Linked DNA regions of Kluyveromyces lactis. The protein of the gene in region 1 purifies or fractionates together with the protein of each later gene. This does not show direct contact. Links are inferred from orthologs where the notes say so. Each region holds a gene or a part of one and is shown in the gene's direction. Other genes may lie near its edges.

Region 1 (8,277 bases):
AGCAGAGAGCCTAGAAGATGTAGATTATATCATGAGAAGAAATGCTATTGACTTTGCCCTTCCATTATTCAATGAGCCACAAACTGCTATGCTATTTGCGAAAGCTATGAGTCTGAAGATTGCAGAAAAGGTGAAGGTTTTGGAATCTAAGGATGTTATTGTTCCTCATGAAGTCCGTACCTGGAGTGAGTACTTACACTGCAAACCAATTTAATTATCCTTCAAATTAATCTCAAAATCAAAATAAATTAATAATAATTCTCTTAATTGGTATTACACCAAAAAGTTTGTATATACGAACATATTTCTTAATAATACATAGATGATAAACTTGATAAATGTTATTCGATTTTTCAACGATACTGTAGTCGTTGTCTCTAAGGTTGTAGTTAGAGATCCATAAAGAGCCATACAATATAGTTGAAAAAACCCCAGAGTTCACCTTTGATGTAAAAAAAAAAGAAAAGTGCCTTGAAAGATGCTAACGAAGTAGAATTGTATCTATCATATTAAATACCTGAGACGTTGATTAAGTCCCTAAAAGTGTAGTTATTGAGCTGTGATACGTTCATGCTTCCCTACAACAGTGTTCTAATATAGCAAATTACTGCTACCTTCGCTGATTAGGTTTAATCAGAAAGTGTGATTTGAGGCAATACCAAGACACTTCTGAAAACCTAGTTGGCAGTGCAACATGGATGAAAACGATCCATATGGCTGGTACCTGGAGGAACCCGATAATAGCGACTGGGAAACTGATGATACTCAGCAAATCATCAACTCTGAAATGTATACCAGAAGCCTACAACCTGAAAAACTGCCGGCTCTACCACCTATCAAGGAAATAACAGATGACAACCTTAAAAGAGATAGATCAGAACGTTCAGATTCGAAGATGGTGACAAATACAACATATTCCAATTCCAATTCAGATCCTCCTAATGAGCTTCACGGTATTAAAAGACAGAGAAAGTGAGGGCCGTATCACAGAGTTGACTATTTTCCTCTTCTTTCAATATAATGGGTGAGCGGTGCTTCCTCCACAAATCCATGTAACGATTTTAATGACATTGCGTAATATGTATATATACAAAATTTATAATCACAGTAAAAACTAGTACTGACTCAATACGTTCAGTGTTATATCCCAATGACTCATGAAGAACTGTTGTTATCGGTTGACATTTGACTAATTGGCAGAGGAAACAATAGCTCAAAAGGAATAAAAATTGGTAACATAAGGAAAGATGCAAATTAGATATAAGCCAGATGTAAAAGTTCAGAATTTCTTTGTAACAAAAGCAAATACAGAAGATAGAATTGTATTATTGTGCGCATTTCTAGGTGATCTATTAAGCTTTTGTTTAACCGCGTAACATTTGCTCATCGTATATAAACCACTAGAAATCATGGACAATACAGAAACATAGATGATAAAGTTGTTATAATTCTTTAAGGAACCATCACCGATGATAACACCTGAGACTGGAATTGCAACTAGAAATGAAAGACCAACGAAACAATACATTGTTGCATACCTTCTTCCAAACTCGTTTGTCCTTGAAATTTGACCGCAGCAGACTGGAGCGAGATTAATCAATGACCCATAAAACAAACCATAGACTGCGGAAAATCCGTACATTACCGAAGGACCTATGTTTCCGAAAGGTAACCAAAATATTAGCGGGACAAATCCTAACAAGAAATTGATCATGATCATGACGTTAAATCTGCCCATCACTTTATCAGCCAAAAAACTAAACATGTATCCCCCGACAATACTTAAGGTGTTCAAAATGGTGACAAGTAAAAATGAAGTATTCTCAGAATACCCTACCGTTGTACAGTAAGATGTGATATAGGTTAAAACGGCACCAGTAGATACCTCAGCCAAACACGAAGCTAAAACACAAAACAGATACTTTTGATCGGATACTATAGACTTGTAATCAAAGGAATCTCTTATGTTGTAAAGTAAATTCTTGTGGAAAGGAGTGCTAGCATCTTTCGGTTCGACAGCCGCACGTTTCTCGGGGTCTTCCTTGATTAAAAACATCGAAACAGTCAAACATACTCCACAAATTAAAGCCATAATTCTCATAGTCCAGGCGAACCCCAAATTTTTAAACGATTTTTCTAAGAATAATGGGAAAATAACACCACCAATACTCCCACCGTTAATGGCAACTGCAGTGGCAATAGCTCTTCGCTTCTGAAAATGGTGACAGATACATCCCAATAACGGACTAGACGTAATACCTGATCCTGTGCCAACGCAAACACTCAATGCAAGAATAAACTGCCACACTTTAGTACATTGTGCTACTGCCAATACACCCCCAACGGTCATTACTGTACCTATCACTAAAGGTTTTCTAGCACCATATCTGTCAAAATACATCCCACTGAAGACACTTGTCCCTAATAACAAACAACTCGAAACAGAGAAAATCCACGATACTGTAGATGTTGACTCATCCTTTAACTGGTGACGTGCAACGTACGTTTGAATGACACCTGCTGAAAAATACAACCCCCATGTAGGTAAAATACCTAAAAATGAGCCAAGAACAACTAGCCAAGCTGCGATCCCTCCCTCAGCATACGTAAAACCATCGTCATCGTAATCTGTATAGGCATCTGAACCTCCGTCATCATTATCAAAACTTTGGACGGGCTGTAGTTCATTTATATTTATACCTACTTCTGATCCGATAACGTTCTTCCTCGTCCTTTGTTCATTAATACCTTTCAACTCGATAGTTTCAATATTTGACATTGCAGCTTGTGTTAATTGCCCATCAATTCCCTTTACACCCATTGAATCGGATGACATATCTAAAAGAAGTTTACTTCACTCACACATGAGATATCGAAATGTTAACAAACCTTTAAAGACACCTCCCAGAATCCAATGCTATTCAACTGCGTATGGATCCTCCCCAAATATATATATGATATACTCCTGCAGTTGGCATATTCTTTTTTAGACTATTTTCCAATTTTTTACGTAACGTTCAATGCAGATTCCGAAGTTCCGGAGGAGACCATCAACGTCAACGTATTAGGTTTGCAAGTGACTCCATCTGTCGTATAATAATTTGTACATGCATAACCTGTATCAGACATAACGACAATGAACAGAGGAACTAGGTAGAGAAATTCTGGAATTGGCTACTCGAACCGGTTGTCAACTATATTAACTATGATTCTGAAGGTAAATAGTCGGTATTTGTCACGTGACTTTCCAGTGGAAGTAACAGAGGAAGCTCATATCATTTTTTTTTATTTTTTGAAAACTGTTCGTGCCCTTTCAGTAAGCGACAAAACCATTGCGCTGAGTTCTGGTGAGCTTATCGGAAAATTTTGAAGATCTCCATTTATTGCAGACCCACTGCCTCTTCTGGTATTTTATTGCGAAAGTCTTGAGGTTGTTCAAAAGAGCGGGTAACTTTTCGTATTTACTTTAGGCGCTGTTTCCCAGTTTCAGACATTCAATACCTCAGCTATTTGAGGGCCTCCATGAAAAGTGACCGGGTAACATAATGGGTGGCCAAGTAAGAAGCTAATGCAGGTGATGCAACATGCCAACGCATTTGTGGGGACATCTCACATCTAAAATTAAACACATATTACCTGTCAAGCCGTAGGTGAACATTAACAGGCATTTGGTTACTTATCTGTGGATACGGAATACATGCACTTGATGCTGAACTGTTGGGCGCTACCAAACTTAATAGCACGTGACTTCTCCTAATTTTGCAGGTTGTCATAACCAAAATAGATACAGCAAGCCCATCCGCTCAAGAAAGAGGACATGAAATTGTGATGTTTTTCTTGCTAGATCATAATGTTTGTAAGATTTTGGAAGAAAAGACTCAAAAAGACTCCGTTTGACTGCTAAATTCTGGGCAAACTGGAAAGTACCGGGCTTTTCTCTGGAAGTGTAAGGTATTACTAAATTAACCGGTTACTGTTCGCTCCACCCGATCATGAGAGTTTACAGAAAGTTCTTACCTTGAAACTTTTTTACTGTCACCCTTTTTATCACTTCGAGTAAAGCTTTAAATGACATAATTTACAATATAAATATGGATCATCTCACCTGTCATCATGGTCTTTTAGGAATTGTGAAGGTATACTAACCAATTGTTACTCTATGATCTATCCGAAAATCCGCAAACTGCATTAGAGAAAAGTACAATCGAATTGCAATGACCAAAACAGATGAACCTAAAAAGCCGAATTTCTTAATTATTGTCGCCGATGATTTAGGGTTTACAGATGTGTCGAGTTTTGGAGGTGAAATACAAACGCCAAACCTTGATAAATTGTCTAAAGGTGGTTTCAGATTCACTGGTTTTCATACTGCATCGGCATGTTCGCCAACTAGATCGATGTTGTTGAGCGGTACTGACAACCATTTGGCAGGTTTGGGCCAAATGGCTGAATATGCCAGGCAATTTCCAGAAAAGTTCAAGGATAAACCTGGTTATGAAGGTTATTTGAACTATAAGGTTGCTGCATTGCCTGAAATATTATCCCCAGAATATTACACGCTGATTTCGGGGAAATGGCACCTTGGATTAGAAAAGCCATATTGGCCAAGTGACCGTGGATTCCAAAAACGTTTTACCTTGCTGCCTGGTGCAGGAAACCATTTCAAATGCAATTTGGATAGCAAGTTTCTTCTCCCATGGATTTATCAGGAAAATGGCGAAAGGGTAGACCATAACAAGTTTCCAGAAAACTTTTATTCCACCACTTACTTCACAGATAAATTTTTGGAATATTTGAAGGATGATGAAGAAAGAAAAGGTCGCCCATTCTTTGGCCAGTTGACCTACACAGCTCCACATTGGCCATTACAGGCTCCTGCTGAGACTATCGCAAAATACAAAGGTAAGTATAATGGTGGTCCCCAGGCATTGAGAAGACAAAGATTGGAAAGAGCTAGAGATCTTGGTATTGTTCCAGCTGATGTTGTTGCTCATTTAGTAGAAACTCAAAGAGAAAAGACTTGGGATGAATTAGATGATAAGGGAAAGGCCTACGAAAGCCGTATTATGGAAATTTATGCCGCGATGGTTGATGAATTAGACCAAAATATCGGTAGAGTTATCGATCATTTGAAGGAAACCGATGAATTCGACAACACTGTCATCATGTTTATGTCAGACAATGGTGCTGAAGGTATGTTAATGGAGGCATTGCCGTTTGGAGGTTCCACTTTCAAGGAAAGAATATCGTCCGATTATAACAACGATTTTGACAACATTGGTAAAACAAACAGTTTTGTTTATTATGGTGATTTGTGGGCTCAAGCAGCTACTGCTCCAAATTATATGTATAAAATGTGGGCAACTGAAGGTGGTATCAATTGTCCTCTTATCTTACATGCTCCACAATTAACAGGACTATGGGAACCAGGTCAAATCATCGACCAGTTTACAACAGTTATGGACATTTTACCTAGTGTTTTAGAATTGGCTAACGTTCCTCATCCAGGTACCTCATTTGAAGGTCGCAAGGTGCACGAACCAAGAGGTTTGTCATGGATTCCTTTCTTAAAAAAAGAATCCGAAAGAATATATGACGATACCAGGGTCACTGGTTGGGAATTATTTGGTCAACGTGCCATTCGCCAAGGTCCTTATAAAGGTGTGTATATTCCACCCCCATTTGGCCCTGGTCACTGGTTACTTTTCAACATTGATGAAGACCCTGGTGAGACTACAGATTTGTCCAAAGAGCACCCAGATATCTTAGAAAAGATAATTGATCACTGGTCTGTGTATAAAGCAGAAACTGGACTCATCGAATTAGAAGACTCTGTCTTCGATAATGCCCATTATGTGAAAAGAGTACTTGATGACTATTAATCGTTAGCTATATCAACTTAAAAATCTCTTAGTTTTGAAGTTGCAGCTGCGTTCGAAAAGCAACATCAGTTACACCAATCCGTATTCGAGACCCAATATGAAAAGGGTATGTTATTCGTTACTCATACGCTTGTCGTAGTTGTATCATTTTATCTAGGCAGAAATAACCTATATATAATAGATAATTCTATTCATTTCAAGCTACGTCGTTTTCAATGTGTTGATTTTTTTCGCAATTATTTTTACTTCGAGCTCATCGCATCTATAGGAAGAAGAAAAAAATTATCAAGATGTTCTCATGTGCATTATATCTGGTCTTAATTTTGATGAACGATGGGTTATACCGTTCTGTCCAGACACAAATAATCATACGTCAGACCGATAACAGCAATCAAAGCAATGTTTGAACTACCTCCATTATCTGGTGCCGTCGGTGCCACTGTTGAATCTGGTGCTAAACTAACACCATCCATTAGACGTCCTATTGAACCAGTTGGTAAATTCTTCTTGCACCACGCTCAAAGAACTTTGAGAAACCACACATGGTCTGAGTTCGAGAAGATTGAGGCTGAAAAGAATGTTCAAAACGTTGAACAGTCCAATGTCGATCCAGACGAGTTGTTGTTCGACACTGAGTTAGCTGACGAAAGTTTGTTAACTCACGACGCAAGAGACTGGAAGACTGCTGACTTGTACGCTGCTATGGGTCTATCCAAGTTACGTTACAGAGCCACTAACCAACAAATTATTAAGGCTCACAGAAAGCAAGTCTTGAAGTATCACCCTGATAAGACTTCTGCCTCTGGTGCTAGCTTAGACCAAGATGGTTTCTTCAAGATTATTCAAAAAGCATATGAAACTTTGACTGACTCCAACAAGAGACCGCAATATGATTCTTGTGACTTCGAAGCTGATGTAGCTCCGCCAAAGAAGGGTACTAACTACGACTTCTTTGAAGCTTGGGCTCCTGTTTTCGAATCTGAAGCTCGTTTCTCCAAGAAGAAGGATGTACCAACTTTGGGTGATATGAACACTTCCAAGGAAGACGTTGAAAAGTTCTACTCTTTCTGGCACAGATTCGACTCTTGGAGAACATTCGAGTTCTTGGATGAAGAAGTTCCTGATGATTCTTCCAACAGAGATCACAAGCGTTACATCGAAAGAAAGAACAAGGCGGCCAGAGATAAGAAGAAGACTGCTGACAACGCTCGTTTGGTGAAATTAGTCGAAAGAGCCATGAACGAAGATCCACGTATCAAGCAATTCAAGGAAGAAGAAAAGAAGGAAAAGGAAAGAAAGAAATGGGAAAGGGAAGCCGGTGCTAGAGCCGAAGCTGAAGCCAAGGCCAAGGCTGAAGCTGAAGCTAAGGCTAAGGCTGAAGCGGACGCTGCTCAAGCCGCATCTGCCAAGGTTGACAAAAAGAAGGCCAAGGAAGCTGCTAAGGCTGCTAAGAAGAAGAATAAGAGAAGTATCCGTAACGCTCCAAAGGATGCTGATTACTTTGGTGATGCCGACAAATCCACTACCATCGAGGAACAAACTGGTTTGATTGTCGACTCTTTGGACGACGAACAATTGGTTGACGTTGCTGAAAAGATCAAGAGTGATACTGCTGCTGCTAAAAACATATTGTCTGATGCAGCAAAGGCTTTGACTGACGCTGGGAAATTACCGGCTGCTATTGTCTCTTACTACTTATAAATTTAAAGATGAGATCAGTTCAAAACCAGCCCAGAGGAAATATATAGCATATAACATAGTCTACTGACATTGGCTCTGCTATTTAACCCTTCGATTTATATATATATACCAGTAAAATCTGACAGCTACCTATTACTTCGGTTTCCAGGAAAGTCAGATAGTGGTATCGCTTATATAAATACCGACTTTAAGATGGTATAAAAGTAAAATCCGAATTGCAAGCAGAAATGAACAAATACTTCAAGCGCTTACTGGTTTATCGTAGCATCGGGCTTCATACATGGACTGATGTGGTAAACCTCAAATAGTATGAAAATTTTAGGTTATACTATATATATACGGTAGTTCAACGTCCAGTATTGATCAGTACTGAAAAATCAAAAACAATAACAGTGTGGGAGAAAAAAGGACCCAACCTAAAAGACAGATCAGTTTTTTTTTGCAGAGTACTGGAACCAAACGAGAACAGGTGTGAAAACATAGTGAAAGTTCAGTGGTAGTGGATATCTAAGGAATTGGAACCTATTTTGCGAGCTGCCATTACTTGTGTCGTTTTGGAAGTATAGCTCACCGTAATACCTGTGCATAGTATTTTCTGTTTGAGCGCAAAATTCTAATTGGTAATACTGAAGCGGAATACCATTGAACGAGCCATGTCTTTTAGAGGTAACAATTTGGATACGTTTCCAACAGC
Region 2 (9,094 bases), on another chromosome or scaffold:
TGCCCGATTCATAAAACTGGCACCTACAATCTACAACTGGCAAAAGACACTTCCAGATCTGGCATCGGCCAACTCTATTCCTTTCTTTTCTGGTTTCTCATCGTTACCAGATCTGGATCTGGCCTGCTTTGGTACCCTTTTTTTGGTGTGTGAAATCTGCTCTGTTTTAGGTAAACCTATTGAATGTTGTTCCAAACAGGGCATGCTGCTTCCTTTCACACCACCCTGACTCTTTACGTTCTACAGGGATTGATGAACTGACAGCAATGAATACCCTATGTAGGCTATTCAGAGACCCGAATTGGGCAACCCTTTAACCCTTTTCGACATTAGAACCCTCATCCATTAATCAAACATCAATAATAGTACGTTCTTTGTATATACTATTGTTCTAGTTTACTTAGTTATTAGTTGTCTGCCTCCCGAGGTGTTTTAAGTCCCATGCCCTGGCAGTGTAGACACACATTGCGCCGGTGTTTAGCATTTGTCTATTTGGCATTCCTTTTATACTCTCGTATATATTTCTTAACATATATATATGTGTTAATATTCTTTGCTGGTTTCAAGATTTCGTGGTTTAAAGCTAGTATATATATTACAAGAGGTCTTATTTCTTTCTGTCTGAGATTGAAACACCAGGCGCGTTTTATATTTTTTAAAGAACCAGTACCATCCTTTGTCACAATGAAGCTGTCCAATGCCACTCTTTTATCTCTTGCAGCTACTGCTATCGCTGCCCCAGTAGCCACTGTTACTGTTCATGAACACGTTAGACATACCGTCATCGTCGAAGGTTATGTCTACATTGATGGTACCACTACTTCTACCGGATACAGAACTGTAAATGGGCAATCCGTCGAAACTGCTGCCCCAGCCACCGAAACTGACACGGCCGCTTTTGTTACTCAAGTTGTTGCTGCCGGTGCTGCTGCCTCTCCATCGTCTCAAGCTGTCGCTGCTGAGTACGTCTCTGATGAAGATACCACCACTACTGGTGCTCCATCCACCACATCCACTGCTGAACAAACTACTTTGACCCCAACTCCAACCATCGAGCAAACTGCTACCAGTACCCCAGCTACCACTACTGCAGCTACCAGTTCTTCCAGCTCTGACTCTAACCTTTCGTCCTTCGCGTCTTCAATGTTGGATGAGCACAATGCTAAGAGAGCTCTACATAAGGACACTCCAACTTTGTCCTGGTCCGATGAATTGGCCTCTTACGCTCAAAACTACGCTGATGATTACGACTGTTCAGGTTCATTGACTCATTCTGGTGGTCCATACGGTGAGAATTTGGCCATTGGTTATGGTACCACTGGTGCTGTCGATGCTTGGTACAGCGAAATCAAGGATTACAGTTTCTCCAATCCAGATTATTCCTCTAGCACCGGTCATTTCACCCAAGTTGTTTGGAAATCCACCACCAAGGTCGGTTGTGGTATCAAGCAATGTGGTGGTGTATGGGGCGACTACATCATCTGTTCCTACGATCCAGCTGGTAACATGCTAGGTACTTTTGCCTCAAATGTCGAGCCATTGGCTTAAACCCAATCTCATTTCGGATATTTTTGAAACAAATGTCAAACATTTGTCATGGCTCTTACCCACAATACAAATACCAGTTTTATATTTCAGGACAACGAAACAGTTTTTCAGTTCTCAGACAGGAAGATGGTAGATTATCGTTTGATTATCCCGGTCGTCTGCTGGCGTCACTATCTTATTTTACTCTAGAATTCAGTCCGTATTTTTTAGATACCTTTTGTCGTTTTATGTATACGTTTTTATACCCTATCAGTTTTCTTGCAAATTCCATACAATCCTGGAACACAGAGCTATCGGCAGAGCTTGCAACTTGATAGCTTATAAACAGGGCCATTAATGTTTCTGGTTTTCGAATGGCTTAAGTATCTATAACCCTTGAGGCATAATTTTTCAGATAGATAAACTTCGGAAATAGAGCAACACCTGCCAAATGAATCAGGTTTACTGGCTCATATTGGTGGTACTAATCCACGCAAAAATCTTGTGTCATGCACAGGGTATAACAGTGACAAAATACAACACTGTTCGAATAATAAGAACGAAAACCGTCTCAACGACAACACATTTCACAACTTCAAGAACAATTGTTTACAGAACAGCCTCCGGCACCTTCACGGAACAAGTGTCCACAAAACCAACGGCCACGGACCCGGATTTCAAAACGGAAATCCTGGACGTGCACAACTCATTACGCAAGAAACATCAGGTTTCATCGCTAGTTTGGGCTCCAGAACTTGCATCTAGAGCACAAAATTTCGCCAATTCTTACGTATGCAACGGGCAATTAGAACACTCAAAGCTGCCTTACGGAGAGAACCTTGCTCTAGGATATAATACTACCTCAGCTGTTCTAGCATGGTATAACGAGGTAAAACTGTACGATTTTAACAACCCACAGTTCGCAGCAAATACAGGACATTTCACCCAGCTGGTATGGAAAAATACCTCGAAACTTGGCTGTGCATTTATACGATGTGGCCAGTATTACGGTCAATATACAGTATGCGAATACGACCCACCGGGGAATGTAATCGGAAAGTTCAGTGAAAATGTCTTACCCGAGAAGTAAAATAGAAAACTGTCCGATGACAGAAGACTTGATAAGCGTTGGTTGATTCTTTCCCTTGCAAATCACGAACTCAGGGTAACCAACACTTCTCCTTTCTTTTCACGGGCTTTCACACGATTTGGATCGTTGTTCTTTTCGAAGCTTCGACAATATGAAGAAATAAGAAGTGAAATTCAGTTAGAGAAAAGAAGGTTTAAAATATAAAAATAGTTAAACTTTGAATCATAGATACCGGTTTCAAGCCACCTAGATTAGCCGAATAAGTGAATTGTGGGATCAATTGGTGTACTATAGAATATACTCAACCGTTTTTCTGTATCATAGTCGTGTGTGTTTGCTTTTTCTCTTTTATTTCCTGTGCTTAATACTCAATCACTCACTATATTGAATATTAGTTAAGGGTATTTGTTTGTTTGTTACTGATTTTTTAGTTTTTGATTTACTGCTTTGTTATAACCGGACCTTCCTTTATTTTCAATAATGTCTGAAATCACTCCTGATGTTGCTGAAGATTATTCTCAAATCGTGGTAGATACGCCACCTTCTTCTGCTGATGATTCGTCGAAATTAGCTGGCCAAACAATTGAACAAACTGAAAAGTCTAATGGTGAAGAAGCTGCCACTGCGCCAGCGGTCAAGGTTTTATTTCCAAGATTGGGAGGAAATGCTGCTGCGTCTGCTTCTGGCAATGCTGTCTCCTGGGGGTCTACTCTGAAATCAGGTAGCTCCGTTAACAGTGTCTCTTCTCTTTCCCATGGCAAAAACGGACGTGCTTCTTCACCTGGTTCTGCTAAGCCATTGCGTTCGAGAAACATTCAGGAAGTGTTCTCGCTAGACTTAGATGCACAATACCAAATCACAAAGACCGAATTCTCCAGCATCGTTCAGTCTGTTAAACAAAAGTACGATGTCTCTGTGGAATCCACACTATCAAAGACTTCGCGTACTTTCTTGATCTCTGGTTCTTCTGACAAGATTGGTCTTGCTAAGAGAGAGTTGGTCAAGAAGTTGACTAAACCTGTCAATGTGACTTTTGAAGTTCCTTCAAAAACTAGATCTGCCATTATCGGATCTGGTGGTAAGACCATCAGAGCAATCTCAGATGCTGCTGGTGTAAAAATCGTGGTTCCGAAGGAGGTTGATGAGGGTACCTACGATTCAGATTTGGAAGACTATTCAGTAACCATCTCTTTACACGGCGATGCTGAATCTGTTCTCGTTGCAAAGAGTAAGATCTTGGACGTCGTGAAGGAGGAAACTAAAAACGCCAAGATTGTTCTTCCTGTCGAGGACTCCAAGTTGGTTCCCTTCATCGATCTAGAATCAGTTGAAATTCCAGCTGATGTAAAGGCGCAGCTGTTTACAAACAATGACCCCGCTGAAATCGCATTAAATGGTCCTCGTGATAATGTTAAATTGGCCAAGGTTAAGGTGATCAACTATTTGAACGAATTGGGTCTAAAGATCGTGGTGAAAAAGGAAAAGGTCCCATTCAAATTCCATCCTTTGGTAAAGCCTTCAGAATTGAATGAGAAGTTCCACGTCGAAGTACAAGCTCCAAGTATTTCCGGCGATGATCAATTCGTTTTCATCGGAAGCTCTGACAACGTCAATGAGGCCATCGTGTACGCTAAGAACTCATCTAAATTCCATACCGTGGAATCATTGGAAATTTCAAAAGCTCATGGTAAAAACGTTAAACATGCTAAGAACTTGATTCTATACTTCCAAAAATATAACGTCTTAGATCAAATTACCGAAGACTTCCCACAAGTGCAAGTAGTTTTACCTAAAGTGGAAAGTATTCCAGCATTGGAATCCGTCAGTATTACCTTAATTTCAAACAACGATGCCGCAGACGCTATCAAGACCGTTCGTAAACAAATTGTAGCTTTGGTTAATGAATTATCTCCAGAACAAACGTTAACTATTTCAGATTTGGATTATCATCTATTCCACAAGGACATCAAGCAAATCTTGGTCTCGACTGAAAGTGATGTCCCATTCATTCAATTGGGTGACTGTTTCCCAGGTAATGACGATATCTTACTAATCACCAAGATCAATGAAGATGATTTCAAGCCATCTGATGATGAACTAAAAGTTAAGCTGGAATCGGTCAACCAACAATTGGAACCAATCAGAAAGAAGCAAAGCCTTTTAGCATCCAATGTTGTTTCCCTTGCCAAAAAAGAACAGGATGAACTACTCGGAGAATCAAAAGTCACTTTGAACTTGATCAATGAAGCTGTTTCTCATGCTGGCGCTCATGCTTTAATCAAGTTGAGCACCCCTTCAGTCAACCAAATTACTATCAGAGGTGATGACCATGGATGTAAGATTGCTTCCGCTGCTGTCAAGTCCATCGTCGAGAATTCATCAACAGAATCCAAGATCACATTCCAAGTTCCAACCAATGTAGTTTCGAGATTGATTGGTCCAAAGGGTGCTAACTTACAACAAATTCGTGAAAAGTTTGACGTTCAAACTTTCATCCCACAAGATTCTAAGGATGAGAATACCGATGTTACATTGACCGGTTTGCAATACAATCTTGACCAAGCGAAAACATATATTCTAGCAGAAGCTAAAAAATGGTCCGATATTATCACTAAGGAATTAATCGTCCCTATGAAGTACCACCGTACATTAAGTGGACCTCAAGGCACTTATCGTATCCGTTTGGAGAACAAGTACTCCGTTTTCATCAGATTTCCTAAGGACAGTGAGTTAGTCACCATCAGAGGTCCATCTCGTGGTGTCAAAGCCGCTTATGATGAACTGAAGGCTCTTTTGGACTTCGAAATTGAAAATGGCCATAAAGAGCTTCTCAAAGTTCCAGTCGACTATGTTACTAGAGTCATAGGTAAAAGTGGTGAAACTATCAACGATATTAAGGCAGAGTATGGTGTTGAGTTAAACTTTTTGGACAAAACCGACAGTGAAAAGGCTAAGGAAGCTGGTGAAGTCGAGTTGGAAATCACTGGTTCTAGATCTAGCATCAAAGAAGCTGCAAACAAAGTCAAATCTATCATTGATCAAGCATCAAATTTTGAGACAGTTACTCTGGAAGATATCGACTCTAAGTATTATAGCGATATCATCGGTCGTAGTGGCTCCCAATTGAAAGAAATTATCAGCAAAGCTGGTGGTGATGAGATTAGAAACAAGAGAGTCAATATCCCTGATGCCTCTTCTGAAGACAAGGTTATCACTATCTTCGGACCATCTGACTTTGTGAAGAAGGTTGTCAAACAAATTAAGGGAGTTGTTTCTGGCTTAGAAAACAGCATTACCGAGGAGCTAAATATTCCACAAGAGAAGTTTGGTGCCTTGATTGGTCCAGCTGGATCAGTAAGACGTGAATTGGAGACAGAATTCAAAGTAAGAATTCATGTTCCAAACAAGAACAGCTCAGATGAAAAGGTCACTGTTTCTGGTTCTCCTGCTAATATTGAATCTTGCAAGAAGAAAATCGAAAAAGAAATCATCAGGGATAGTTTCGACTTGGAAATTGCTGTCCCTGCCAAATACCATTCATACGTTTCTAACTCTGGTTTGATTTTCCAAACGTTAAGAAACGAATTTTCTATTGATGTTTCTCATGGTAACTTGACTAGAACCGCACAAAGTTTATCTCGTGCGAACTACAAGGTTCCTGAAAATGTCGCTGGTGGTGAAAATGAAAGCTCCAACGTCCTCATTCAATCTGTCACAGAAACTGAAGCTAAGGTTGACACAATCCCATGGAGATTAACATACTCACCAATTGACTTGAGTGATGTTTTAGGTGAAGACTATAAGAAAGATGAAGAAAGCAAAGATCAAGTCTTAGAAAAAGCGTCCAAATTGATAGAAGACAGAATCGCCGAGGCTAAACTTGTTAACACCGAAGGTTTCGTTTGGTCCAAGGATGCAAAGAAGTTTAACTCTATTGTTGGACCAAACGGTAGAAATATCAGAGAAATCAGAAATGCCACTAAAACTGTTATCCATGTTCCAAGAAAAAGCGATAAGGTTAACAATGTTATATATGTCCTAGGCTCTGAAGAAGGTGTGAAAAAGGCAGCTGAATTGATCTGCAAGAGATTAAAATAGTTTTAATGTTTTCACTTTGTCCGTTCCTTTGATCCAATTCTTGTATTTATTTCCTCTATTGGTGTTCAACGCTGCACAGATTAGCACTACATAAGCTTACATTAATACCACATAATTAATCATGTATACTGAATACACTTAAAACCTATATCAAAAAATGTAAACAAAACTATTTCTTCAAAATCCTCGGTTGTTCCTCAATGTTAAAGATTTATACGGGCTAGCGTGTGTTTCATGGTTATACGTAAACGTATATATATATTTATTGTGGCCTGAAGATCTATATGCAGGCATACGAATAAAGCCGTCTTCATGAGCAACAAGACTGTGAATCATTTGTACTTGGTCTTTGCAATGATATATTATTATTATTAGGTTTCTTCGATTCCTGTATCTTATCTTTGTTCTGCAAATATAATCTTTCACCAATATCTTGGAAGACTTTGATTACGTTTTCTCCAGTCTTAGCACTGACCTGGTGGAACAACAAATTATTCTCTTGTGCAAACTCGCGTGCGTCCGCTTCATCGACTAAAGAGGTCGATTCCCTTTCAGATACTAGATCCAACTTATTCCCCACAAGACAGATGATCAACTTATCGTCATTTACCTTTTCTTTCAATTCATCAACCCAAAGCTTGGCCTTAGGCAAAGAATCTGGTTCAGTGACATCGTACACAACTAAAGCGGCATTTGCATTACGATAGTACATAGGTGCCAAAGATTTATAGCGTTCCTGACCGGCCGTATCCCAAATTTCAAACTTCAAAACTTGTTCATCATACTCTTCAGATAATTTAATAGTTTGTGAAAGAAAAGCTGCACCTATAGTCGATTCCCTGTACTCATCAAACGAGTCTTTGACGAATCTATGAACAATACTGGATTTTCCAACAGAAGAATCTCCCAACAATACTAATTTGAACTGAAGCATAATTTATGGGAAGTAAATTGCGATATTTTAGAAAGAATCAGCAGTATAGGAAACCTGGGGTTGATATTGGTGAATGCTCGAAACAAAATGTCCAATACGACTTCTACCCGCGGTTACTCGTTCCAGTTTCTCTACTTTTTTATCTTTTTATCTGGAAGGGATGAAACCTGTTGATTCTGAATTTAAAGGTTTCAATGACTGAAAGCCTTTAAGTTGGATAATACGAATTGTCGATCACGTGATTGGTAATTTGAGGGGAGTTCGTGACGTTTAAAACAATGACAAGAGGCTGATTTGGTTGATAAATATAGTTGGGGTGTGTATTGATTAAATAGAATAGAATAAATAGTAGCTAACATTAATCGAATAGAAGTGAAATGAAGTGAAGTGAAGTGAAGTGAAGTGAAGTGAAGTGAAATGAAGTGAAAGAAGTATCGTGCGCATGCTTATTATCTCATTCAGTAGACATCTTAACAAAGCCCAGCTCGTTAAGCCTTTGGATAGCGGCCCCGATCTTCTCTGCTTCCAAGAGTTGTTCTTCCTCGGGCCAATTATCAGCCTCGGAATCCTGCTCAGCGATAGAAGTCATTGAAGAGTTGGAATTAACAGTTGATGCTGCAGTGGTGGTGTTTGCCGATGGCGTGGGTAGTCCGGAGTAGGTGATGTAATCATGCGATATGGAAGAACACACTGAAGATTCACGAGAAACTGGAGGCAAAGGCTCCAATCTGTGAGTTTCCCTGTTGTGTCTAAGATGTAAAAGATTTAATATCGAAGTAGTAGTGTTCGAGATATTATTGATTGGTGATTCGATCAACTTAATGAAAGAGGAGTTGACGAAGGGGCAATGGAATGAGTTATGTGGCGAGACAAAACAGGTTCTGATATCTTGCCTTAGTTGAGGAGAAGAGTACCCTATCAAAAGCTCCAAGATGTTGAGGATCTGAGGTAATCTATGTTCTTGTAGGGGGCAATACAATTCCTCTGAAGCTTGTAGCAACCAGTCGTTGAACTTGTCCTCGAAAATGCATAAGAATCTATTGACAGTGGTTCTTTCGACGGACAGGTTATGAGTATGTAGCAATAGGTAAAGGGATCCAAATTGGATCAAACAATCTTGAAATCCAGCCACGGAGTTGTATGGTTTTCCACTAAGTTCGGTGAAGAGAGACCAATATACTCGAGAATTGGCAGAGAGATACCCGTAGTTGAAACACAAAGCGTACCAGTATTTACCCAATTCTGTAAGAATTGAAATGCGTTTTGGATCCATAGTCAAGGAAGTGACCATCGTTTGGAAACTCTGTGGAGCCAACATTCTGTTAAAAATTTGATGATGTTTCTGGTCCGAGTCATCTAGATCTGAACCCTGGCCATCATGAGCCAAAGTTGGTTTACAATGTGCCAATAAGAACATTATTCTCCATCTGGGTAAATCGAAAGGA
Region 3 (5,903 bases), on another chromosome or scaffold:
CACGTCCGTACTGGATCACAATTCTGCCATACCCTAAAACTTTCAACTTCTCTGTGACAGATCTATCAAGTACTGTTTCTACCAGTCTGGGGAAAGAGACAGTAGCTCCGCAAGTTACAAGAACAGTGTTATTCATTGTTTTCTCTATTTGGATCTAAATTATCGATTCGGCGAACCGCACCTCGCCGATGATGTTATTCACGACTACTTGCAACCTGCATAGATCTGGTTAGCTATGCTTGTGATGATTACTGAAATCATAATCATTTTCAACGGACATGCTCATACTTAAGGACTTACAGTTTGAAAGTTAAAATTTAAGGCATTATAAACGTTGAAAAGCTGTAATCTTTAAACACAATCTTAGAGTAAAACGAGTGGCAAACACAAATTGCAAGGGCTTTCCGATCCAATAGTGGTATTTAAGATAGAAGACACGAATTATCATTCATTTGAGAAGGTACTGATACCATAATTCCTTATAATTGCCACTAGAAAGTAAACTATCTCTTGGGATTAAAAAGAATAAGAGAAGCGTTAAAAACTAAAGAAAAACTAACCTATACTGTAAAGGATGAGTGCTGTACAAATTTCGAGTATTCCTTTGACGAGCCATGACTCTGGTATCAAGCCTTTCTTTGACCAAAAAATCCAGGAAAGTGAGCTTAGGATCAGAGAAAAGACATCGAATTTGCGTAGACTAGAGGCTCAAAGAAATGCGTTGAATGATAAGGTCAGATTTATAAAGGATGAATTGAGGCTCTTGCAGGAATCTGGATCATACGTGGGAGAAGTGTTGAAAGTTATCAGTGAGAAAAAAGTTTTGGTGAAAGTTCAGCCTGAAGGAAAATATATTGTTGATGTTGCTAAGGATATCAACGTCAAGGACTTGAAAGTATCACAGCGTGTATGCTTGAAGAGTGACTCGTACCAATTACATAAGGTGTTGGAGAACAAGGTAGATCCGTTAGTGTCTCTAATGATGGTCGAAAAAGTACCTGATTCTACATACGATATGGTGGGTGGGTTAACGAAGCAGATTAAAGAAATCAAGGAAGTCATTGAATTACCAGTGAAACACCCAGAACTATTCGAAAGTCTTGGTATCGCTCAACCTAAAGGTGTTATTCTATACGGTCCGCCAGGTACTGGTAAGACTTTACTAGCGAGAGCCGTAGCACATCACACAGACTGTAAATTTATCAGAGTAAGTGGTGCCGAATTGGTGCAAAAATATATCGGTGAAGGTTCCCGTATGGTCCGTGAGTTATTCGTGATGGCTAGAGAACATGCGCCTTCTATCATTTTCATGGACGAAATCGATTCTATCGGTTCCAGTCGTGTTGAAGGATCTGGCGGTGGTGATTCCGAAGTGCAAAGAACCATGTTGGAATTGTTGAATCAATTGGACGGGTTTGAAACTTCGAAAAACATTAAAATCATCATGGCTACAAACAGATTGGATATATTGGACCCTGCATTGCTAAGACCAGGTAGAATTGATAGAAAAATCGAATTCCCACCACCAACCGTAGCGGCTAGAACAGAGATTCTAAGAATCCACTCAAGAAAGATGAACTTGACCCGTGGTATTAACCTAAGGAAAGTCGCCGAAAAGATGAACGGATGCTCTGGAGCTGACGTTAAAGGTGTTTGTACCGAGGCTGGTATGTACGCACTAAGGGAACGTAGAATTCACGTAACCCAAGAAGATTTTGAACTAGCCGTGGCCAAGGTCATGAACAAGAACGACGAAACTGCTATCTCTGTAGCAAAATTGTTCAAGTAAGGATCCTTCACCCCTTTCATCTCAAACAGCGCATATCATTAGATACATCCCTACATATTATACATAAGCCACGTACAACACACGCCTGTGGTTGTACCCCCGTGTCAATATGTTTCTAATCAGATCCTCTCTTTTTCCCCCTCATCGCATCTCATCTCGTCATAAACTTGACCATCATGTCAATCTTCTCAATATACACGAAAGAAGAAAAAAAAAATTTTTACATTGTAAAGAGGAAAAGCTGTGAATCTTTTGAAATAAAATTTCAACCTTTAAGCCATTGAATTTTACCATTACGATAGCACATTTTGCATAAAACAGGATAGAGGAAAAGAGGCACAGAGAGCTACTGCTGATCTGATAGTCAATAGATTTATCAGCACTTGTATTGTTTGAATTGTTAGAGAGTAACAGTGGACAGTAAAGAAACAAATCTGGGAAAAAAAGAATCTCACAAGAAAGTGATAATTTTTTTTTGTTCTTCGTTTATTTGTTTAAAGAGAAAGAGTTAAGAATTGGACTTTAATTTCATTCTACTCATTCGTGTTTCTATATAACTCGACTCGTTTTCTCTAGGTACTCTGGATTACTCGGTTACAAGAGAGAAATTAAACAGAAAAGAGCTTAGATCCAGCTAATTTCATCTGAAGAAGAGAGAAAGAGCGGTTTTTCAAAGCAGATATGGGCGAACCTACATCCGATCAGCAACCAGCTGTTGAAGCTCCAGTTGTGCAGGAGGAGACAACCAGTTCTCCGCAAAAAAACAGTGGATATGTCAAGAATACTGCTGGAAGCGGTGCTCCTAGAAATGGGAAATATGATGGTAACAGGAAGAACTCTAGGCCTTATAACCAAAGAGGTAACAACAACAATAATAATGGTTCTTCCTCGAATAAGCACTATCAAAAGTATAACCAACCAGCGTACGGTGTTTCTGCGGGATACATTCCGAACTACGGCGTATCGGCAGAGTACAACCCTCTGTACTATAACCAGTACCAACAGCAGCAACAGCTGTACGCTGCTGCTTACCAGACTCCAATGAGCGGACAAGGTTATGTCCCCCCAGTAGTGTCTCCAGCTGCTGTTTCAGCTAAACCAGCGAAGGTTGAGATTACTAACAAGTCTGGTGAACACATAGATATTGCTTCCATTGCTCATCCACATACTCATTCTCATTCTCAATCTCATTCGCGTGCAGTTCCAGTAGTGTCGCCTCCAGCTAACGTTACCGTCGCTGCTGCTGTATCATCCTCTGTGTCTCCATCAGCTTCTCCAGCTGTCAAAGTACAGAGCCCTGCTGCTAATGGTAAGGAACAATCTCCAGCTAAGCCTGAAGAACCAAAGAAGGACACTTTAATTGTGAACGATTTCTTGGAACAAGTTAAAAGACGCAAGGCTGCTTTAGCTGCTAAGAAGGCTGTCGAAGAGAAGGGTCCTGAGGAACCGAAGGAATCTGTCGTTGGAACTGACACTGATGCAAGCGTTGATACTAAGACAGGGCCTACAGCCACTGAATCTGCCAAGTCTGAAGAAGCTCAATCAGAATCACAAGAAAAGACTAAGGAAGAGGCTCCAGCTGAGCCAAAACCATTGACTTTGGCCGAAAAATTGAGACTTAAGAGGATGGAAGCTGCAAAGCAAGCTTCTGCTAAGACCGAGGAACTAAAGACTGAAGAATCTAAGCCTGAAGAAACAAAGACCGAGGAGCTAAAGACTGAAGAATCTAAGCCTGAAGAAACAAAGACCGAGGAGCTAAAGACTGAAGAAACAAAGTCCGAGGAACTAAAGACTGAAGAACCTAAGGCGGAAGAATCAAAGGCGGAAGAACCAAAGCCTGAAGAACCAAAGACCGAGGAACCGACGACTGAACAACCAAAGTCAGATGAACCAAAGTCGGAAGAATCAAAAACTGAAGAGCCAAAAACCGAGGTATTAAAGACTGAAGAACCAAAATCGGAAGAATCAAAGCCTGCAGAACCAAAGACTGAAGAAACAGCAACTGAAGAAACAGCAACTGAAGCAAACGCCGAAGAAGGTGAACCGGCTCCTGCTGGTCCCGTTGAAACTCCTGCTGATGTTGAAACAAAACCTCGAGAAGAGGCTGAAGTTGAAGACGATGGAAAGATTACCATGACCGATTTCCTACAGAAGTTGAAAGAGGTTTCTCCAGTTGATGATATTTATTCCTTCCAATACCCAAGTGACATTACGCCTCCAAATGATAGATATAAAAAGACAAGCATTAAATATGCATACGGACCTGATTTCTTGTATCAGTTCAAAGAAAAGGTCGATGTTAAATACGATCCAGCGTGGATGGCTGAAATGACGAGTAAAATTGTCATCCCTCCTAAGAAGCCTGGTTCAAGCGGAAGAGGCGAAGATAGATTTAGTAAGGGTAAGGTTGGATCTCTAAGAAGTGAAGGCAGATCGGGTTCCAGGTCCAACTCGAAGAAGAAGTCAAAGAGGGATGATAGAAAATCTAATAGATCATACACTTCCAGAAAGGACCGTGAAAGATTCAGAGAGGAAGAAGTCGAAGAGCCAAAGGTTGAGGTTGCCCCATTGGTCCCAAGTGCTAATAGATGGGTTCCTAAATCTAAGATGAAGAAAACAGAAGTCAAGTTAGCTCCAGACGGAACAGAACTTTACGACGCGGAAGAAGCATCAAGAAAGATGAAGTCATTGCTGAATAAATTGACATTAGAAATGTTCGAACCTATTTCTGATGATATCATGAAGATCGCTAACCAATCTAGATGGGAAGAAAAGGGTGAGACTTTGAAGATTGTCATCCAACAAATTTTCAATAAGGCCTGCGATGAACCTCATTGGTCATCAATGTACGCGCAATTATGTGGTAAGGTCGTTAAAGACTTAGATGATAGCATTAAAGACTCAGAAACCCCAGATAAGACTGGTTCTCACTTGGTTTTGCATTACTTAGTCCAAAGATGTCAAACTGAATTCCAAACAGGATGGACTGATCAACTACCTACAAACGAAGACGGTACTCCTCTACAACCTGAAATGATGTCCGATGAATACTATAAGATGGCTGCCGCTAAGAGAAGAGGTTTGGGTTTGGTTCGTTTCATTGGTTTCTTGTACCGTTCGAACTTATTGACTTCCAGAATGGTCTTCTTCTGTTTCAAGAGACTAATGAAGGATATTCAAAACTCTCCTACTGAAGATACTCTAGAGTCTGTATGTGAACTTTTGGAAACAATTGGTGAACAGTTCGAAGGTGCTCGTATTCAAGTTACTGCAGAAGCTGTCATTGAGGGTTCAAGCTTGCTAGACACACTATTCGACCAAATAAAGAACGTGATCGAAAATGGTGACATCTCCAGCAGAATCAAGTTTAAGTTGATCGACATTGTCGAACTAAGAGAAAAGAGGAACTGGAATAGTAAAAATAAGAACGATGGTCCAAAGACCATTGCTCAAATTCACGAAGAAGAAGCCTTGAAGAGGGCTTTGGAGGAAAGAGAAAGAGAAAGAGATCGCCATGGGTCCAGAGGTGGTTCCAGACGTATGAATAGCGAGAGAAACTCTTCTAGAAGAGATTTCTCCTCTCATTCTCACAGTCACAATCAAAATAGAGACGGTTTCACTACTACCAGATCGTCATCAGTGAGATATTCTGAGCCAAAGAAGGAAGAACAAGCTCCAACTCCAACTAAATCTTCTGGTGGCGCTGCCAACATGTTTGATGCATTGATGGATGCCGAAGATGATTAAGTTTGATAGAAATTACCTCGAGTTATTTTACCTTCAACCCTCCCACCTGTGCATATTGTTATGAAAAGAATCAAAGCAAGTATTTACCTATAATATTAATCATGTTTACTGTACAATATAACTGTCATTTAGAGACGTCTACATTACATCTCTCTTAAGGATTCTTCACCTCACTAAATTGGTGATTGAACTGAATATATTGGCACGTGATGTGTAATTACCCTATCGTAGTGTTTTTTTTGCTGCCTTTCTCTACAAGATAAAGTAGATGGTGATTGAAATAGTATTGACATTGAAGTAATATAACAAACTGAACCTTTAAACCAAACTGGAAACAGTGTACAGTTAGGAGCTGATTACTTTTGAT
Region 4 (7,752 bases), on another chromosome or scaffold:
CCAGATCGTGATGTCAGAATTATCGTGACAACATGCTTTTTGCAGGCAATGGGTAAATGCAACGTTGAAGATCCATTGTGGTTGCACGCACCATTCAAAAACTCTCGAGAGTTATTTAGCAGTTCAAAACTTCAGCTGTCCTTGGCTATGTTACATCTACAACGGCTCTTGATCACTGAGGCAGGCAATAGTGCGAAAGATGGTCGTAGTGGTAAAAATGTCACGGTTACTGTTGTACAGCCTGGTCTAATGAGGTCACCAAGTCTAAGAAGGGTCGTAAGCAATGGATCTGTCCTACTACTATTGATTCTCTATTGCGTAATACTTTACCCATTCCTGTGGCTACTAACGAAAAGCGGCTATCGTGGTGCTCAAACAATTATATATTCCATAACCACTCCTGAGCTAGAAGAAGTGAACCGAACAGACGATGAAGTGAAATATATTGCAAATTGCTCAATTGTTAACTTTGCTAGGAAAGAGTTTTATGATAAAGAGCTTCAAGAGAAACTTTACGAAAACACAATCAAACAGATTGAATCTGTGGAGAAGAAGATGGCTGCTCAAAGAAACCAGGCAAGCAAGAAGGAAACAAAGGATCAGAAAAAGAACACAAAACCAAATCCAAAGAAGGCCTCAACGAAAAAAGATTAGCACTTTCCGGAATCCGACGAATTTTGAAGTAATGCTTAACGTTACGTAGTTGCGTCAAGAAATTTATAAGGTAAAATTACAGGATATTTAAACATCAGCATTATTCTTATCCCATACATCATGTATATAAGAACGAACTTTTCGATTTTTCGTAAAATAACGAAGGAAAAGAAAGACATAAATGGCACCCACCAGACAGGTTAGTCCTGGTCAGTAACGTAAAGATAAAAAATTAAAACGTGAATTATAATAGTCATTGAATAATAAGTTCATTGAAGGAAAGAAGGGAAGAAGGAGGGGAAGAAAACCGATAGACAGAACGTATACCGAACGATAGGAAAACCAGGAAGTAAGGAACAAAAAAAAAAAAAGGAAATGAATCCACTCTATAAAATAGTACATTTACGCTTGATTGATCTCTTTGACTTTTGAGGTTTTGTACTGCTTTCAGGTTGAGCAGTGGTGTTTTTCTTGTTAACTTGTTTTGTTTTTGGTTTTTGTTGAGAATCTTGTGCCTGTTGCTTTTGTTGTAGAGATTCTCTGACTAATCTGTCCGGTTCAAATACAACGCAGTCGACAGCCTTCTCGAAAACTTCACGGACACCTACCTGAGTGGCAGCAGAACATTCAACGTAACCCATTAACCCCAATTTGTTAACCAATTCCTGAATTTGTTGTTGGGAAACAAAGTCGGAGTTAGACTCTTGTAAACGGTCACGTTCATGGTCATCATCTCTCAAATCGGCCTTGGTACCAACCAATAAGATTGGCAATTTCCCGCTTTGATGATAAAGATCCAAGTTCTCGAAATTTGTACTGTGTTTAATCTCAGGGAACCATTTATCGTAAACGTTCTCAAAACTGTTAGGTTCATTTACCGAGAAACATATTAGGAATATGTCAGTTTGAGGGTACGATAAAGGTCTCAGTCTGTCATATTCTTCTTGACCAGCGGTATCCCACAGGTTTAACTTGAAAATCTGAGGCTCAGAATCCGGATTATATGGATCCGGAAGAGCAATGGTAGTCGAATAGTTATCAAAAACAGTTGGGATATAATCCTGTGGGAAAGTATTCGTAGTGTACGAAATTAATAACGATGTCTTACCGACCGCACCATCGCCTACGATCACACACTTAATAGACCTCATCTCTCCGATAGTTAGGTTGTATTATGATTATTTTTTTTTTTGTGGTTGGGTCCTACTTTAATATTTGGATCCCCTTGTCGATTAAAGTTTAAACTTATGGCCTTTGATTGATTTCTTTGTCTTGAAAGAAGCCAATTTTTGGTTTATTTTTTTCCGTCTTAAAATCAAAATTAAGAACCTTTTCAATGGGAATTGAAACAAAGCGATAAGAACAGATGACTTTGAATATCAATTCAGTTACAGTTTGAACTCAATTGACCAAAGACGAAAATAAACAAATACATTTTTCGGAAAGAAGATGATATATAGTATACTCCGCTTACAATTACATTTTACCTACAAGCGTTAGGTTATCAACTGATCAGTAACGCTATATATAAGATTAACGAGAATTTACTGAGATGGGCTCTGGATCATAAAAGCGGAAAGGAAAAAAAAAATGAAAAAATATCGAGACGCGCTAGGTAGAATGAATGCTAATGCAGTCGATATTGGAAACAGCATAACTGGTTAAGCTCGGCTGCATTTTTGACGGTCAGAAGTGGCCACTGGTATAAGTGGGGCCAGTGGGGTCTGTTATTTCCTCATTCAGATAATCGCACACTACGAACGTTGCTGCTGTTTCGGACGCCAGACTAGGCCAAACAGTGTAGACTGTCAATTGAAAACAATCAGAAATGGTCGTCTTACCGATTTCTTAGGTACTGGCTCTAGGAAATGGAGTGAATAGCGCAGTTTTGTGCTTTGTGCGGTAGACGGAATAAACTGTATAGGCAACCAGTAAAAGGATCTACGAGTGAACTAGTAAGTTACAAAGTGGAATTGATTGGCCCATTATAAAGGCTGTGCAGGAGTCCGAACATCTCAGAAAACCATTTACAAAATGAGCTGCCTACCTACATGGTTCTTTCTTTTTATTCACACAAGTTGCACCAATCGATGTGCTTGTTTCGAGTGAGCAAGTAGCTGATTTTCATTTTCTTTTTTTTTTTTTGGCCTTAGGGAAAACTTACTAGGAACATGAAAAGGTAGTTGTTATAATGGATTGTAGTGGGTAGGTAGGTTGAGGCATTTCTGGTACATTCCGTATATTCGAGTGTGCTCGCTGTACCCTCTGCAGGTGTACTGGCTCCCAATATTATTCTTTTTTTTCGTTCAAATTGTGAGAAACAGAGAGAGAGAGAGAAAACGAAACGGCATCCTGTAATTACCCGAAGCAATATTGGGTCATATACCTGCTAAAACCCGGTCAATATTGACGTACTTTCTTTTCGGAATAACAAGTATGCAGCTGTGACACGCCGTGATTGCAACATTGTCTGGAATTCCTATGTTATTTCCCATTTTATTATTCGTTGAAACAATTGTGTTGTCTGTTTCCTAAGTGATGCGAGTTACCACAAGGCTCTCGAGTATTCACATAAACCAATGCAGGGGGTGGAACATCTCGCGTATAAATCCTATTTAGGAACTTCCCCATTAGGAAATGGAGGAACGGTCTTGAAGTTTTCTGTTTACGGCGAGTTTTCTACGCTTACCAGGTGACTTGAAAATATATGTTCCTGGGACTGCTCACCCGGACATTTTTGTTTTAGTTTTTTTTCCAATTTTTTCTGCATTGCCATTTTGGGTACTTATCTCATTGAAAATGTTCATTTATCTGAAGCATTAACCCATACACCACATGTGTTGGTGAGTAAATACTGTCTTTCAGATGATTTTTTCATTTTCACCATACCAATCGCAGCGATTCGGACGGTTTGACGAATATTGTTCTCATCATCGCTTTACAATCTGGTTCATTATGAACATAAGTGCCATTGGACATACAAGATACTTACTTTAGTTAGTTTTATTATCACCTATAATTTCGAGCTCCCCGACGAACAAATAAAGTAAAAATGGTTGCCATTATCTCCAAGAAGAGAAAGCTTGTCGCTGACGGTGTTTTCTACGCCGAATTGAACGAATTCTTCACCAGAGAATTGGCTGAAGAAGGTTACTCTGGTGTCGAAGTCAGAGTTACTCCAACCAAGACCGAAATTATCATCAGAGCTACTAAGGTTCAAGATGTTGTTGGTGAAAATGGTAGAAGAATCAACGAATTGACCTTGTTGATTGAAAAGAGATTCAAGTACAAGCGTGGTACCATTGCTTTATACGCTGAAAGAGTCCATGACCGTGGTTTGTCCGCTGTTGCTCAAGCTGAATCCATGAAGTTCAAATTGTTGAACGGTTTGGCCATCAGAAGAGCTGCTTACGGTGTTGTCAGATACGTTATGGAATCTGGTGCCAAGGGTTGTGAAGTTGTCATCTCCGGTAAGTTGAGAGCTGCTAGAGCCAAGTCCATGAAGTTCGCTGACGGTTTCTTGATCCACTCCGGTCAACCAGTCAACGACTTCATTGAAACCGCTACCAGACACGTTTTGTTGAGACAAGGTGTTTTGGGTATTAAGGTTAAGATCATGAAGGACCCATCTAGAAACACCTCTGGTCCAAAGGCTTTGCCAGATGCTGTTACCATCATCGAACCAAAGGAAGAAGAACCAGTTTTGGAACCTTCTGTCAAGGATTACAGACCAACTGAACCAGTTGAAGCTGCTGAATCTGCTTAAATCAATTGATATCTGTTTGATTCTATATTATTAATTAGTCTATTAAATACCGTTCTTATATGTATAAATATTAAGAAACTCATCAATTCTTTTAAAAATAAGTAATCTATGCCCAGATGACATCGATTAAAACGTCCTGCTTTTATCAATGGATTTTTAAAATGATTTATCGATAGCGCCTTCCGATAATGCCTTTCCGCCTTTCAGTTCCTTTATCTTTCATACTAATCAAAAAAATTCGGTGGGCAAAAATCATGTAAATTATTAAAAAAAAAGAGAATATATAGTGCGTACTGAAAAAACCAATGGCTCAATTATAGATGAATTGTTAACCATTTAATACCACACGTAGGGTCTATACGTTCCATTTTTAAGAGAACGTAGGTATCGCTCACTAAACACATTGACTGAAAGTAAATATGGGCCTAACTTATAAGGATTTTTGTGCTGTAGGTACAGCATTGATCATTGGATCAACTACTTTTTTGATGGGGATCTTCTTTTCTAATCAACCATATGACTATAATATCCTATTCAATCCTGCTGCCACGCCGGAGCATTTTGAGAACGCTTTGAAACACTACCAGACTCTATTCTACACGGCCAAGCCAACCCTTTATATGCTTGGTGCGGTGGCCATTGTGGGAGTCATTGGTTCCTTGATTAGGGTATACAAGCCAAATCCAGATTTGCAATTATTTGAATACGGTTCATTGGCTTTGTACGTTTTGGGTATCTGTGTTTTCTTAACAAATATCAAGACCGGTGTTGAATCTGCGGTTTACCATAACTGGGGTGAAGTCTCTGAGGCGCAAGGTATTGCTGTTGTTGCCTCTTCCAATATCATTATTTTAATTGTCTTTGCTGGTGTCTTAGTGTTGCAAGGAGGTTTGTGGTACAGTACCTGGGAATATGAACAAAGATTAGATCAATGGAGGAAAGACCAATTGAAGGAATCTGCCGCTAACCAACAGAAGGCGGAGAAAACTACTGAACCAGCTAAAACGGAATCTAAGAAGAAGAAATAGACGAAATTTGTTTCCTTACAGTTTGATGCGGTGAAGTATTTCGCGTTGCTTTCACTATTTACAAGCTCTTGTTCTATATATTATATAAATGATATGAAATACTTGGCTATTCCGACATGGATAACTTGAGATGAAACCCAAAGACAATCTAAGGACCTTATTATTGATGATTTAATTGCTGTATATTATCTTCACCCATTATCATTGGAAATAAACGTAATATGATAATGTTTAATATCTCATTACCATTTGTAAACACCACCCATAGAACCTCTGATGGGTTTATCTGCTAATTGAACCCACGGTTTCTTCCTTTGTTCTTTTAGTTTGGCTTCGTGCTCTAGTCTTCTCTTCGTTACACTCTTGGTCTTCAATATGCATTTGATATGCACATATGGGTGTTCAATGAGACCACGTCTACCTCTACCCTTCCATTCGACACGTTTTTGCCAAAATCCATCACTGCCGGTCCATATCTGGGAGATGTATAGGTCATTGGCATCCAAGCCAAGCTTCACACCATCATTAATACCGCGCTCCAATAATTCGGCAACATCACGGGCAACCTTTTTATCGGAGAAATGACATTGAGTCAAAGCTTTCTTAGCGTCCAATCCGTTCAAAAGTCTAAGCAGCTGTGTGGCCTTCTTCATAGATGATTTTACTCTGTAAGATTTAACATAGACACTAGGTTCAAGCACTTCTAATTCTTCATTCGTTAATCTCAAAGAACGATCTTTAGGGCGCACGCTTTTGTCGTAAAACCCACCGTTCAACCTAACCTGTTGTTCATAGAATTCCTTCTTAACTCTTGGTAACAAAAATTCTGGTAAACTTTTGATCATGGGGTCTTGTTCTTCGATATATTTCTGTAATTGTGTATCATTGGCTGCTGTAACTTTCTTTTTAGCCTCTGCCAGCTGGGTAGCAGCATCCAAATCATCTGACAGTTCGGTAGCAGTAGTCAACTTATTAGATAGTTTATTTGGATCGTCATCCTTCAACGGATTCACTCCATCGGTGACTTCACCGAATAGCGAACCTTGTGCAGATTTTTGTAGCTGCAATGCTGAAGCTTGAAAACTTCTTACACCGGAAGCCTTTCCCAAGCCGAACAGGCTAGTTACTGTCCTCGATAGCATTAAATTTTATATAGGTTGAACTGATGACAGAGCCTGCAACTAACCATGTAATTTACACGTGCCTCTAGTATTATACTGTAGGCATTTTATTACTTTGATCAATCCTTCTTCTGTACAATGTTTGATTATCAAAATTTTTTTGTTCGATGGTTAGGAAATATAAATCATCGTGAACGGGCATGAAGATATAAGGAATGGTTCTACTGTGTGGAGGAAGATATTGAAGTCCGACTATCTTGACGGGTTGTAAGATCACAAATTAGAAAAGCGTTAGTGTGGAATTGCTAGGAATTAAACCTTAAATATGAACTATATAACTGAAGATGCACAAAGAAGTATATTGAATAGAAGGGAAAATTTAAGTACAAATTTGAAAACTTTGTAATTAGAGTTTGGTAAGATCAGTGTTCGATTAGTTCCGTTAAATATCCGTGAGCGTTCTGTGGGTTTTCATCGTAAGTAACTGACATTTCAGTGTCATGTGTACCCTCATCGGTGGAAGATGACACAAAGGATGAATGTAGTGATGTTGTGGAAGGCGTCTGAGACTCTGGATCTGCAATCGATACAACATATTCGTCGTCGAATGGATTTGTCGTCTGTGGCCTCCTGACAGAATCTGCAACATATGGAGGCACTGAGGGCAAACTTTTTGAAACTTTGTTATTATTATGAGCAGTCGTCGATACTCTGGTTGTAGTCTTGGTGGTTTGCTGAGACTGTGCAATAAACGTTCCGATATCGTCGTATCCCATTTTTCTCCCAATGTCGTGGGAGAAGCTCTTTTCGTGTTCGATAAGATTTCTCCTTCGTCTCTTCCTAAATAATAAATAGATCACCAGTATCATTAGCGCCAGACCTCCCACGCTTCCTATTACACCACCGATTATTGTATCTTTATTTGATCCAGACGATGTTGAGTTGGAATCCAATGCGCCAGATAGCCATCTTTCGTAAAAAGATGTGTCAGTCACAACTGGACCTGTAGGTGTAGTGAAAGTAGCCTCTGTGGGTATCACTGTAAGTGTCGGTAGTCCTTTAGTAAAGGTGGTTGAAGTGTCAGTAAAGATGAAATCTCGTGTGTAATAAACCACAGTTTCAGAAGACGGTACTTCAGTGGTCAACGTTAACCAAGTCGGTGTAGGCACAGTGGCAGTAGCTT

Evidence for each region.
Region 2: the proteins of ZUO1 (region 1) and SCP160 purify together in Saccharomyces cerevisiae (affinity purification with mass spectrometry; 3 studies listed by BioGRID). This does not show direct contact. The link is inferred for Kluyveromyces lactis from reciprocal best matches to the Saccharomyces cerevisiae genes ZUO1 and SCP160.
Region 3: the proteins of ZUO1 (region 1) and KLLA0_A04730g purify together in Saccharomyces cerevisiae (affinity purification with mass spectrometry, with the first as the bait; 3 studies listed by BioGRID). This does not show direct contact. The link is inferred for Kluyveromyces lactis from reciprocal best matches to the Saccharomyces cerevisiae genes ZUO1 and TIF4631.
Region 4: the proteins of ZUO1 (region 1) and RPS3 purify together in Saccharomyces cerevisiae (affinity purification with mass spectrometry; 3 studies listed by BioGRID). This does not show direct contact. The link is inferred for Kluyveromyces lactis from reciprocal best matches to the Saccharomyces cerevisiae genes ZUO1 and RPS3.

Annotation. Positions count from the first base shown.
Region 1 is NC_006042.1:288,820-297,096, reverse strand, and holds ZUO1 (zuotin), read left to right. Parts: upstream 1-6,281; coding exon 6,282-7,583; downstream 7,584-8,277. Other genes in the region: carbamoyl-phosphate synthase (glutamine-hydrolyzing) CPA2, read left to right, coding at 1-214; KLLA0_F03179g (DUF5137 domain-containing protein), read left to right, coding at 695-976; KLLA0_F03168g (uncharacterized protein), read right to left, coding at 1,280-2,836; KLLA0_F03146g (arylsulfatase), read left to right, coding at 4,215-5,882; protein ERV29, read left to right, coding at 8,237-8,277. UniProt on the Saccharomyces cerevisiae protein: Component of the ribosome-associated complex (RAC), a heterodimeric chaperone complex involved in regulation of accurate translation termination and in folding or maintaining nascent polypeptides in a folding-competent state.
Region 2 is NC_006040.1:200,067-209,160, reverse strand, and holds SCP160 (Scp160p), read left to right. Parts: upstream 1-3,097; coding exon 3,098-6,715; downstream 6,716-9,094. Other genes in the region: KLLA0_D02442g (CAP domain-containing protein), read left to right, coding at 442-1,548; KLLA0_D02420g (CAP domain-containing protein), read left to right, coding at 1,979-2,617; Rab family GTPase YPT52, read right to left, coding at 7,026-7,649; KLLA0_D02354g (uncharacterized protein), read right to left, coding at 8,104-9,094. UniProt on the Saccharomyces cerevisiae protein: Involved in the control of mitotic chromosome transmission. Required during cell division for faithful partitioning of the ER-nuclear envelope membranes which, in S.cerevisiae, enclose the duplicated chromosomes.
Region 3 is NC_006037.1:421,496-427,398, reverse strand, and holds KLLA0_A04730g (uncharacterized protein), read left to right. Parts: upstream 1-2,470; coding exon 2,471-5,536; downstream 5,537-5,903. Other genes in the region: N-acetylglucosaminyldiphosphodolichol N-acetylglucosaminyltransferase catalytic subunit ALG13, read right to left, coding at 1-136; proteasome regulatory particle base subunit RPT6, read left to right, coding at 575-1,789. UniProt on the Saccharomyces cerevisiae protein: Component of the eIF4F complex, which interacts with the mRNA cap structure and serves as an initial point of assembly for the translation apparatus.
Region 4 is NC_006040.1:702,293-710,044, reverse strand, and holds RPS3 (40S ribosomal protein uS3), read left to right. Parts: upstream 1-3,706; coding exon 3,707-4,420; downstream 4,421-7,752. Other genes in the region: PBR1 (putative oxidoreductase), read left to right, coding at 1-654; Rho family GTPase RHO5, read right to left, coding at 1,041-1,805; SHR3 (Shr3p), read left to right, coding at 4,840-5,448; MRPL22 (mitochondrial 54S ribosomal protein uL22m), read right to left, coding at 5,691-6,590; TDA7 (Tda7p), read right to left, coding at 6,992-7,752. UniProt on the Saccharomyces cerevisiae protein: Component of the ribosome, a large ribonucleoprotein complex responsible for the synthesis of proteins in the cell.